3 linked regions of the Saccharomyces cerevisiae S288C genome follow. The protein of the gene in region 2 interacts with the protein of the main gene of each other region in a biochemical or structural test. Each region holds a gene or a part of one and is shown on either strand. Other genes may lie near its edges. The genes, in order: PRP43, YJU2 and PRP46.

Region 1 (3,758 bases), on a different chromosome or scaffold from region 2:
TCTTGAGAACATTGGAACTCAAAGGACCCAATTAACATCACCGCTAGCATAGGATCCAAGGGAAACTGGGATGCCAATCTACCTAGGGGTGTTAAGTTACCTTCGTCGTCCAGACATGCCAAATAATTTAGTTCTTCAAGGGCTCTCATCATTGTTTCCGGAGCCGGTGGATCCATAAAATCGAAATGGACCAAGTCATCAATACCTAATTTTTTTAGTTCTAGAACGGTGGAGGATAAATTGGAACGTAAAATTTCTGGGTAACTTTGCTCTATCAGTTCCTTTTGGAATGCCTCTTCAGTGTATAATCTGAAACATTTACCAGGCCTTGTACGACCAGCACGACCAGCTCTTTGTTGGGCAGAAGCCTTGGAGATAGGGGAAACAAGTAAAGACTCAACTCTAATTCTTGGATTGTAAACTTTTTGCTTTGAAAATCCTGGGTCAACGACGTAGACAATACCATCAATTGTTAAAGAAGTTTCAGCGATGTTCGTGGAGATAACAACTTTCCTGCCTGGTCTACCATTATGTGACTCTGGAGCAGGCTCGAATATTCTTTGTTGTTGATGCGGTGGTAATGAACCATACAGTGGGTATACGGATAAAGGTCCGCATCCCTCTTCTCTAACCAATTGATCACCTTCTAAGGAAATCTTTCTGACAGCGTCTTCAATTTCATCTTCACCAGTTAAAAATAACAAAATATCGCCAGCCTCTTCAGTGGCATGAATTTGCAAAACAGTACGAATGGCAGAATCTAAATAGTCCCTTTGAAATTCCGGTGTATAGTATAGCTCAACTGGATATGTTCTGCCCGGAACGGCAAGTAATGGAGCATCGTTGAAGTAGCGTTGGAACTTCTCTGCATCCAGAGTAGCAGACATAATAATTATCTTCAAATCAGGTCTCCTCTTGACTACTTGCTTCAAAAGACCCATCAAAATATCAGTAGCTAGTGTACGTTCGTGCGCTTCATCCAGAATGATACATGAATAACGCGACAAGTCATGGTCTTCCATTGCCTCTCTCAACAACATACCATCAGTCATATACTTCAATATCGTTTTATTAGAAGTTTTATTTTCGAATCTGATAGAATAACCAACTTCTTCGCCCAACTTGACATCCATTTCCTCAGCAACTCTCTGTGCAACAGACATTGCTGCGACACGACGAGGTTGAGTACATGCAACTTGAGTGTTCTCTAAGTGTGGCATCTCATCGAATAAAACGAATTGAGGAATTTGTGTCGTTTTACCGGAACCTGTTTCACCAACAAAAACCATAATCTGGTTATTTTGATAAAGTTTTAAAAACTCATCTCTCTGGGCATGTACTGGCAATTCTCTTCTAATTTTCAGGATATCAACATATTTTGGTGTAAACTCCCTACCGGTAAATGGATTTATTTTTCCATCTTCAAGTTTTTGGGCCTCTTCTGCTGAAGTATGGTGACGTTGCAAGCCCTTGAATTCACCAGCATCATGATGGACAAGTGGCTCTTCGGATGGAAGAGGATGCTGTTTGGATAATTCTTCCGCAATCTCGGCGGCCTGCTCAGGAATAGAGGTCTCAACTGGATCCGGGTGTTCGGACGAGAATCTTCTTTTGGAACCCATTATTATTCTTGCAGTCCTAATCTTTCTATGCGCGTTTATAAGGTTATACTATCGTTACTCAATCGCATCCCCGTAAACGTGTTAAATATTACAATTGAATAAGTTTCTTTTCACCTCATCTCGCATTTGAAAATTTTTCAGAGGCACCGAAAAAAAAGAAAAAGAAATAAAAAAGGACTTGTGTATAAGATCGCTAGATCAATAAAAAGCAATCTGGTAGATTTATGGGACTCCGAAATGATACTGTCAGTTGAAACAGCAAACGAATACAGAGCGTAAAACTAAACGACCTTAGTTTGGAAAATGATGAAATTTGTCCATAACTATATACTATCAGTCAGCAAACTATGATCCGGGTAATATTCATTTGTAAAGCTTTAGATCTGTAATAGTACCCAGTACTTTTTTAGATGATCTTAATTAGTTAAGATCTTTCTGGTACTGTACTCAGTACGCTTCCTTGGCATCCTTATTGGGACCTGTTCGGCTAAGATATCGTTCGATATGGTTACAAATATGGTGAAATTGAGGAATTTAAGGAGATTGTATTGTTCATCCCGTCTCTTAAGAACTATACAGAACGGGAGAATTTCTTCTGTTTCTTCAATATCGTTGAGTAAGAAATATACTACAAAATCTGCCAAAGAAGGTGAAGAAAACGTAGAAAGGAAGCATGAGGAGGAAAAAAAGGATACATTAAAAAGTTCCAGTGTACCAACTTCACGAATATCGAGATTGTTCCATTATGGCTCACTGGCAGCAGGGGTGGGCATGAATGCCGCAGCAAAAGGCATATCGGAAGTTGCAAAGGGCAATTCTCCCACTTGGAAATCTTTGATTCTATCAGATTCGAATATTGACAGAATTACCAATAAATTTTCTAAAATGAGAGGTGTTGCCCTTAAAATAGGGCAACTATTGTCTTTTCAGGATGAGAAAGTGTTGCCAAAGGAATTATACGAAATTTTATCAAGGGTACAGAATAGTGCAAATCATATGCCTCAAAGGCAATTGGAAAAGGTTATGGCCAAGGAATTAGGTGCTAATTGGAAGACAAAGTTTTCCAAATTTGACAAGATACCTATGGCAGCTGCTAGTATCGGACAGGTACATGCGGCAGAGTTGCCCAGTGGTCAAAGAGTGGTTGTCAAAATTCAATATCCTGGGGTTAAAGAATCCATTGATTCGGATTTGAATAGTTTACTAATGTTACTTACAGCCTCAAGTTTATTACCGAAGGGATTATTTTTGGATAAGACAATTGCCAACGCTAGAACTGAGTTAAAATGGGAATGTGATTACAACAGAGAGGCTAGAGCTCTACAAAAGTTTGAGGCGTTGCTAAAGGATGACCCAGCGTTTGAGGTTCCTCATGTGTTTCCTGAATATACAACCGATAATATTATAACTATGACACGTATGGAGGGAACTGAAATAATGAAATTGCCCAAGGCATCACAAGAAACCAAAAATTTTATTTCGGAGAATATCATGAGACTATGTCTGGAAGAAATTGCCACTTTCAAGTATATGCAAACGGATCCTAATTGGGCAAATTTCCTCTATAACGGTAGGACAAAGAAAATTGAATTATTGGATTTCGGTGCCTCCAGACCTTTTGCAGAAGATTTTATTCTAAAATATAGAAAACTTTTAACTTACGCCACATTGAGAGATAGGAAAGGGGCGTACGAAATGTCTGTACAACTGGGCTATCTCACAGGCTTAGAATCGCAGTCCATGAAAGACGCGCACGTCGATAGTGTACTTACACTTGGTGAACCTTTTAGGGGTGATGTAGATAAATCTTTCGATTTCAAGGATCAAACAGTCTCAGACAGGATTAGAGGTAATATCGGGTTAATGTTGAATGAAAGACTATGTCCGCCACCAGAGGAAACATACTCGTTACATAGAAAATTTAGTGGCATTTTTCTTTTGTGTGCAAGAATGGGTGCGTCTGTTCATTGTGCAAAGCTTTTTAAAGAGATTTTTGCCTATAAAGTTTAAAATACTTCCCCGCTATTTGTATATATGCATATCTTTATATTATGAAAGATATTTTTTTATTTACTTTTAGTCCGTATACTTTTATTTTGTTTTGTTAGACAATCTCGAAGAACAAAAAAAAAAGAT
Region 2 (3,495 bases):
CAATGAACTTTTGTCCTCACTACAATTGCCCCTCGGATGGATTTGAACTTACAAGAAATATCACGTTGGCGCGCGCTAAAGTCGCTTGCCAATGCGCTATGAAATTTTCATGACCTGGCACATTTTAGCACAGTGCCATTAATCCCTTTATTATGGGCATTGATGCGACTTTAAAACTGTACCTTCCTTCGCACATGCTGAATTTTCTTAATGAGATTCATCTACGATGCTTTAGAGCTAGCCTTGTTTTCTTTTTTATGCTTCAAGAGTAAGTAGTGAAGAACCCCACTAGACAAATACTAAGGGATGCTGCAACCACGTCTTATACTTCACCCATACATAACATTGGAATCTCATTAATTTTTGCAAAGATATGGTGAACAAGTTTCAAAATAAGAATGTATGTGTACCGAATCGTAGCTCGAGGTAATAATGAAAAAAAAAATCGGACATCTGGAAAGTTACGAATATAGAAGCAGATACCCCTCTTGACGGCAAACATTGTGTGCTCGACCTTCTATCCCGTTAAAATATCATAATAAACAAACCCCTCCCGCGAAAACAAAAAAAGAGAGCTAAAAAAAGTACTTCTTCGCGTTATAGATGGTGCCGCACCGTACGTCATAACTAAAAATAGCGTTAGCCACAGCTCCCTGAACGAAAAGGGCCCTTCGGCCCGATTGGAATACGGGTCCGCTTACGTCTGTGCGTGCGGGTTGTCCCACAACGGTAACTTACTCCAGGAGAGCCATCTCGAAGGTGCCACAAAAGAAAACAAAAAAAACAACAAACAATAAGCTCTGTGGTTCACGTTCAATGTAGTGTTTTTTCACCTTTTAATTTTGATAATTTGTGGTGCAGAAAAAAAAAAAGCAAACAAACAAAATCTCAATTATTTAAAGGACGATCTTAACGTTTCTTTCTTTCGCTATCTTCCTTGAATTTTTTTTCTGTCTGAAGTAAAATATCCCGTAACAAACTAATAAATACTACGAAAGTCTCAAAAAACAATAATGAAATTCTCCACTGCTTTGTCTGTCGCTTTATTCGCCTTGGCTAAGATGGTCATTGCCGATTCCGAAGAATTCGGCCTGGTGAGTATCCGTTCCGGCTCGGATTTACAATACTTGAGTGTTTACAGTGATAACGGCACTTTGAAACTTGGCAGCGGTAGTGGCTCATTTGAGGCAACTATTACCGATGACGGTAAACTGAAATTTGACGACGATAAGTATGCTGTTGTCAATGAGGATGGCTCATTCAAAGAAGGTTCTGAGAGCGATGCTGCCACTGGTTTTTCTATTAAAGATGGCCATCTAAACTACAAGAGCTCTTCTGGTTTCTACGCTATCAAGGACGGGTCGTCTTACATTTTCTCTTCTAAGCAATCCGACGACGCTACCGGTGTTGCGATTAGACCAACTAGTAAGAGCGGATCTGTTGCAGCAGATTTTTCTCCAAGCGACTCTAGTTCCTCTTCATCTGCTTCTGCTTCGTCTGCTTCCGCATCATCTTCTACAAAGCATAGTTCGAGTATAGAATCTGTCGAGACCTCTACTACTGTGGAAACTTCCTCTGCTAGCTCCCCAACTGCTTCAGTTATCTCTCAAATTACTGATGGACAAATCCAAGCTCCAAACACAGTTTACGAACAAACAGAAAATGCAGGTGCCAAGGCTGCCGTCGGCATGGGTGCTGGTGCTCTAGCGGTCGCAGCTGCTTACTTGTTGTAAGTACGAGAACAAAACCTGCATGTTTTATTTCCTTCAATATAGCTTTCTACATAATGATCACTTACATATAGCGTAATGTAATATGAAATGGCCCATAATATTCTCTTACATTGTCCTCCTACCTACATTCCTTTTCTTGCATGCAGCTCTCACATTCCCCGATTCGCTTGAAAAATTTAAACTTGTAGAAAAGTAGGTGAATGTCCCGCCGGCGGTTTCTCTGCTGCATGTAGAAAGATGGATATACAGAAAAGGAGATAAGAGTAGCTATCTCAAGTTTGTTCCACTGACTGCTAATACGCATAGAGTTGTTATTTATTGTACATATTCGAAAAAAAGCAAGAAATCACTACGGTGACCTCAGTAGAACGAACTAATAAGTCAAACCAAATTAACCGTTTCCAGGCTGATAGGAGAATACAAGAATGTCTGAAAGAAAAGCTATTAACAAGTACTATCCACCGGATTACAACCCACTGGAAGCTGAAAAGCTATCCAGGAAAATGGCTAAAAAACTGAAAACCATGAATAAGAGCCACGCATCGATTAGATTAATGACCCCATTTAGTATGAGGTGTTTGGAATGTAACGAATATATTCCCAAAAGCAGAAAATTCAATGGTAAGAAAGAGCTACTGAAGGAGAAGTACCTGGACTCCATTAAGATATATAGACTAACCATTTCATGTCCACGTTGTGCCAATTCCATTGCATTTAGAACAGACCCCGGTAATTCAGATTATGTAATGGAAGTGGGGGGCGTAAGAAACTATGTCCCTCAGAAACCAAATGATGACCTGAACGCTAAAACAGCTGTCGAAAGCATAGACGAGACACTGCAACGCTTAGTGAGAGAGAAGGAAATGGAGCAGAACGAGAAGATGGGTATAAAGGAGCAAGCAGATGACAAAATGGATTTGCTGGAAAAAAGACTAGCCAAAATTCAACAAGAGCAAGAGGATGATGAGGAACTTGAAAATTTAAGGAAAAAAAACCTTGAAATGAGCCAGAGAGCTGAAATGATAAACCGCAGCAAACACGCACAACAAGAAAAAGCAGTAACGACTGATGATCTGGACAACCTCGTAGATCAGGTATTTGACAATCACAGGCAGCGTACCAATAAACCTGGCAATAACAACGATGAGAAGAGAACTCCGTTGTTTAATCCTACATCCACTAAGGGAAAAATACAGAAGAAAAGCTCTGTGCGTACGAATCCGTTAGGGATAGTTATAAAACGAGGAAAGTCTCTCAAATGACCTAGAAAAGTAAGGAACGTACGATTGGTATCATGATCTCTTGTGATGCTGTGCTACTGTGGTTGCTTCCACACTATAGCGTCCATCGCTACTTACGAGGGGCGACAGCCCCTTCGGACTTCGAAGTGTCTGGCCGTTTTTTCATTGAATTTTCTTATAAATGAATACATATCGGAAAAGCCATTGTTGACTAAAGCAAGCCAAAGCCACACAAACCGAGGACAAATAGAAAAGCATGGCTCCGTATCCATACAAAGTGCAGACGACAGTACCTGAACTTCAATACGAAAACTTTGATGGTGCTAAGTTCGGGTACATGTTCTGGCCTGTTCAAAATGGCACCAATGAGGTCAGAGGTAGAGTTTTACTGATTCATGGGTTTGGCGAGTACACAAAGATTCAATTCCGGCTTATGGACCACTTATCACTCAATGGTTACGAGTCATTTACGTTTGATCAAAGGGGTGCTGGTGTTACATCGCCGGGCAGATCGAAAGGTG
Region 3 (3,758 bases), on a different chromosome or scaffold from region 2:
ACCTGCAATAGAGTGACTATAAGCCCTTTGTGAGGATATTTTAGAGAGAGTAGGATTCAGAACTTTTGCTGAATCTTTAGACTTCTTTCTGCTAACCGGAGTCATCGATGTTACAAAATCTGAGCCTTTATTGAGCATTTTACTCAATGAAGCAGCTCTAGAAAGTTCAAGTGAGGGTTTCAAAACATCTTCGCTAATGCCATTAGTGTCGTTATGCGTAGCACTTTCAATAACTTTTTTGACTGATAAAACGGACCTGCTTCTTTTTGGATATTTGCAATTTTCTTGCTTTTTCCCTTGGGCTAACAACAATAACCATAGACCCGAGAGTGAATCGCACTTTTTTTTCAAAATTGATTGTTTTATTGCTTGCGTATCAACCCCTGATTGTTTAAGACGCTTCAGCAATCGCCTTTCTAATTTACTTTTAAACTGAGTCCCTCCACTGCGCTGTCTGCACAAAATTTTCTGAGTCTGATCTAAAACCACTGAACCGTAAGGCTGTAAAAAAGGGTGGCGTAAAACTTGTGACAACGATGGGCGCTCTCCCGGATTTTTAGCCAATAATCGTGAGATCAAATCCCTAGCATCGTCCGGAATAACTTTAGCATCGTATTTCGGTTCTTCATTGACGATTTTCCATTTCGTTTTAGCCTCATCGTCATCATCAAATGGCAAATATCCCGTAATTAATGTGTATAGTATCACTCCCAATGACCATATATCAATCTTGAATCCATCATAAGTCCTTCTTTCTATCAATTCAGGTGCCATATAAACTGTGGTACCGCAAACCGTTTCTAATGTCGTCTTTGTCATACATTCTCTCGTAAAACCAAAATCCGTCAATTTTGCATTTCCATTTTTGTCTAATAAAATATTCTCTAACTTCAAATCTCTATGAACACAATGCATTGAGTGTGCATAGTAAACAGCACCTGAAATTTGTGCAAACAACTCTCCGCATTCCAATAACGATATTCTACGCAGAGAAAGTAAGTGGTCATATAATTCCTTCCCTGGGCAATATTCTAATGCCATCCACACTTTTGATTCTGTCACTATCACTTCATAAAGCTTTGTAATATAAGGAAAATCGAACTGTCTATGGTAAAATACCTCTCTAACGATATTGGGATCATTCTTATCACTCGTCTTTAGGCAGACTTTACGATGTGTTGGTCTATGGAGCGCTAAATATACTTTTCCAAAACTTCCTTCACCTATTTGTTTTAAAATCTTGTAGTTTCCCACTTCTGTCAACTCATCAGAAGTAAATTGGCTGTATAGTCGATTGTACGATGATCCTATAATGCTTTTTATATTGTTTTGTTCCAATTTCGAGGATCCAACAGGATTAACCATGGTGAGCAGTATATTCACCTATATGTGGGTCTTTTATTGTCTCTTGGCAACGGATAAGGAGAACTTGCTTCCACTACACAGTGACTAGTTATTAATGAAAAACGAAACAAAATTTATTGATACAAAAAATAGTATTCGGATAACGAAACTCTTGTTGACTTCAAAATACAGGTATTGGAATTTTCGTAATGATTCGGAATGATATGAGGGAAAAAACGTTACTTTATTTAATTCATACAAGATATTTATTGTATACCGTTATTGATAAGTGTTCTGTTGTCAAGATTGGGAGGGTCCACGCGGTCAACATTGTTAAGATAAGCCGAAAATCACCACACAAATCCACGATGACCTAAGAACATTCGTTCGCTTAAATCACCTATAGTCACAATAAAGTAGCATTCAATGTGACAAGAGGAGCTATCTACTTTCAGAGAATTACTCCTCATCTCGTATTCCTATTTCGAGTTCAACAACTCTTTTATTAAGTAAGGGTGCTCAAAATTCTTCATCATCTAATACGGAAAAGCTACAATTTTGGCAATAAAAGATTATTCAAGATGTGAAGCTAACAGTAATTATTACCCACTTCATTGCATCTTAAAACCATTTCCGAGGATGCAGACACTGTGTTACATGGAGATTAGTGAGAATGGACGGAAATGATCACAAAGTCGAAAATTTAGGAGATGTAGACAAATTTTATTCCAGAATACGCTGGAATAACCAATTTTCATATATGGCCACTCTGCCGCCCCACCTACAAAGCGAAATGGAAGGTCAGAAATCATTGCTAATGCGATATGATACTTATAGGAAGGAAAGTTCTTCTTTTAGTGGTGAAGGCAAGAAAGTTACTCTGCAGCATGTTCCTACAGATTTTTCAGAAGCATCACAAGCAGTGATTAGCAAGAAAGATCACGATACGCATGCATCTGCTTTTGTGAATAAAATTTTCCAACCAGAGGTTGCTGAAGAACTTATAGTTAATCGATACGAAAAACTTCTGTCACAAAGGCCGGAATGGCATGCACCCTGGAAACTTTCACGCGTTATCAATGGCCATCTTGGATGGGTACGATGCGTTGCAATCGATCCTGTTGACAACGAATGGTTCATCACCGGAAGTAATGATACGACAATGAAAGTTTGGGATCTTGCAACAGGAAAATTAAAAACTACCTTAGCAGGGCATGTAATGACAGTGAGAGACGTTGCTGTGTCAGATCGACATCCTTATTTATTTTCTGTTAGTGAAGATAAGACGGTCAAATGCTGGGACCTAGAGAAAAACCAAATTATTAGAGATTACTATGGACATTTATCGGGGGTTCGTACGGTGAGCATACATCCAACGCTGGATCTCATAGCTACCGCAGGCCGAGATAGCGTTATCAAACTCTGGGATATGAGAACCAGAATACCTGTTATTACACTAGTTGGGCATAAGGGTCCAATCAATCAAGTACAGTGTACTCCAGTAGACCCTCAAGTGGTGAGTTCATCGACTGATGCTACGGTAAGGTTATGGGATGTAGTTGCTGGGAAAACAATGAAAGTTCTAACACATCATAAGAGGTCTGTGAGAGCTACAGCGTTGCATCCTAAGGAGTTTTCGGTGGCTTCTGCGTGTACTGATGACATCAGATCATGGGGATTAGCAGAGGGGTCTTTACTCACCAATTTTGAGTCTGAAAAGACAGGCATAATCAATACTTTAAGCATTAATCAAGATGATGTATTATTCGCTGGCGGTGACAATGGTGTGCTTTCCTTTTATGATTATAAGTCTGGTCACAAATACCAATCGTTGGCCACGAGAGAAATGGTAGGCTCTCTGGAAGGTGAACGGAGTGTTCTTTGTAGCACTTTCGATAAAACAGGTTTAAGATTAATCACTGGAGAAGCAGACAAAAGCATAAAGATTTGGAAACAGGATGAGACGGCTACAAAAGAGTCAGAACCGGGGCTAGCGTGGAACCCCAACTTAAGCGCCAAAAGATTTTAGTGGGAGTAGATGGAAAAAGTACGTACCCTGTATACGTGTATATACAATGAGATAGCATCTATAAATGGACTTTTCCTAATCAAAAGGTATTGGTTTATGATGTTTTTTATTCATCTCAGTAGCCGCAATAGCGCTCGGTAACTTTATACCACAGCAGTCTCCCCAAGTAGTATGAACATGTCCTTCAAAATTGCACTCATCATCCTTATCAGTCCCATCATGTATGTGGCCTCTTGGTGGAGATACACCATCCGGACAAGGCAAAAACTCGCTAAAGTAAAAATGTTGCATGATGGGCAATTTACTAAGGACTTCGGCTTTATACATTTTTATCATCCCTTCAGCAACTTTTGACCAAGTCTTTACACCGCTGATGTCATCTAGC

Evidence for each region.
Region 1: the proteins of YJU2 (region 2) and PRP43 form a complex in vitro, tested with the Saccharomyces cerevisiae proteins (one study listed by BioGRID).
Region 3: the proteins of YJU2 (region 2) and PRP46 form a complex in vitro, tested with the Saccharomyces cerevisiae proteins (one study listed by BioGRID).

Annotation. Positions count from the first base shown.
Region 1 is NC_001139.9:282,316-286,073, forward strand, and holds the start of PRP43 (DEAH-box ATP-dependent RNA helicase PRP43), read right to left. Parts: upstream 1,623-3,758; coding exon 1-1,622. Other genes in the region: protein kinase COQ8, read left to right, coding at 2,127-3,632. UniProt on the Saccharomyces cerevisiae protein: Pre-mRNA processing factor involved in disassembly of spliceosomes after the release of mature mRNA.
Region 2 is NC_001143.9:260,119-263,613, forward strand, and holds YJU2 (mRNA splicing protein YJU2), read left to right. Parts: upstream 1-2,158; coding exon 2,159-2,995; downstream 2,996-3,495. Other genes in the region: CWP1 (Cwp1p), read left to right, coding at 1,014-1,733; YJU3 (acylglycerol lipase), read left to right, coding at 3,231-3,495. UniProt on the Saccharomyces cerevisiae protein: Part of the spliceosome which catalyzes two sequential transesterification reactions, first the excision of the non-coding intron from pre-mRNA and then the ligation of the coding exons to form the mature mRNA.
Region 3 is NC_001148.4:265,795-269,552, reverse strand, and holds PRP46 (mRNA splicing protein PRP46), read left to right. Parts: upstream 1-2,017; coding exon 2,018-3,373; downstream 3,374-3,758. Other genes in the region: YPL150W (non-specific serine/threonine protein kinase), read right to left, coding at 1-1,365; peptidylprolyl isomerase RRD2, read right to left, coding at 3,449-3,758. UniProt on the Saccharomyces cerevisiae protein: Involved in pre-mRNA splicing. May also be required for cell cycle progression at G2/M.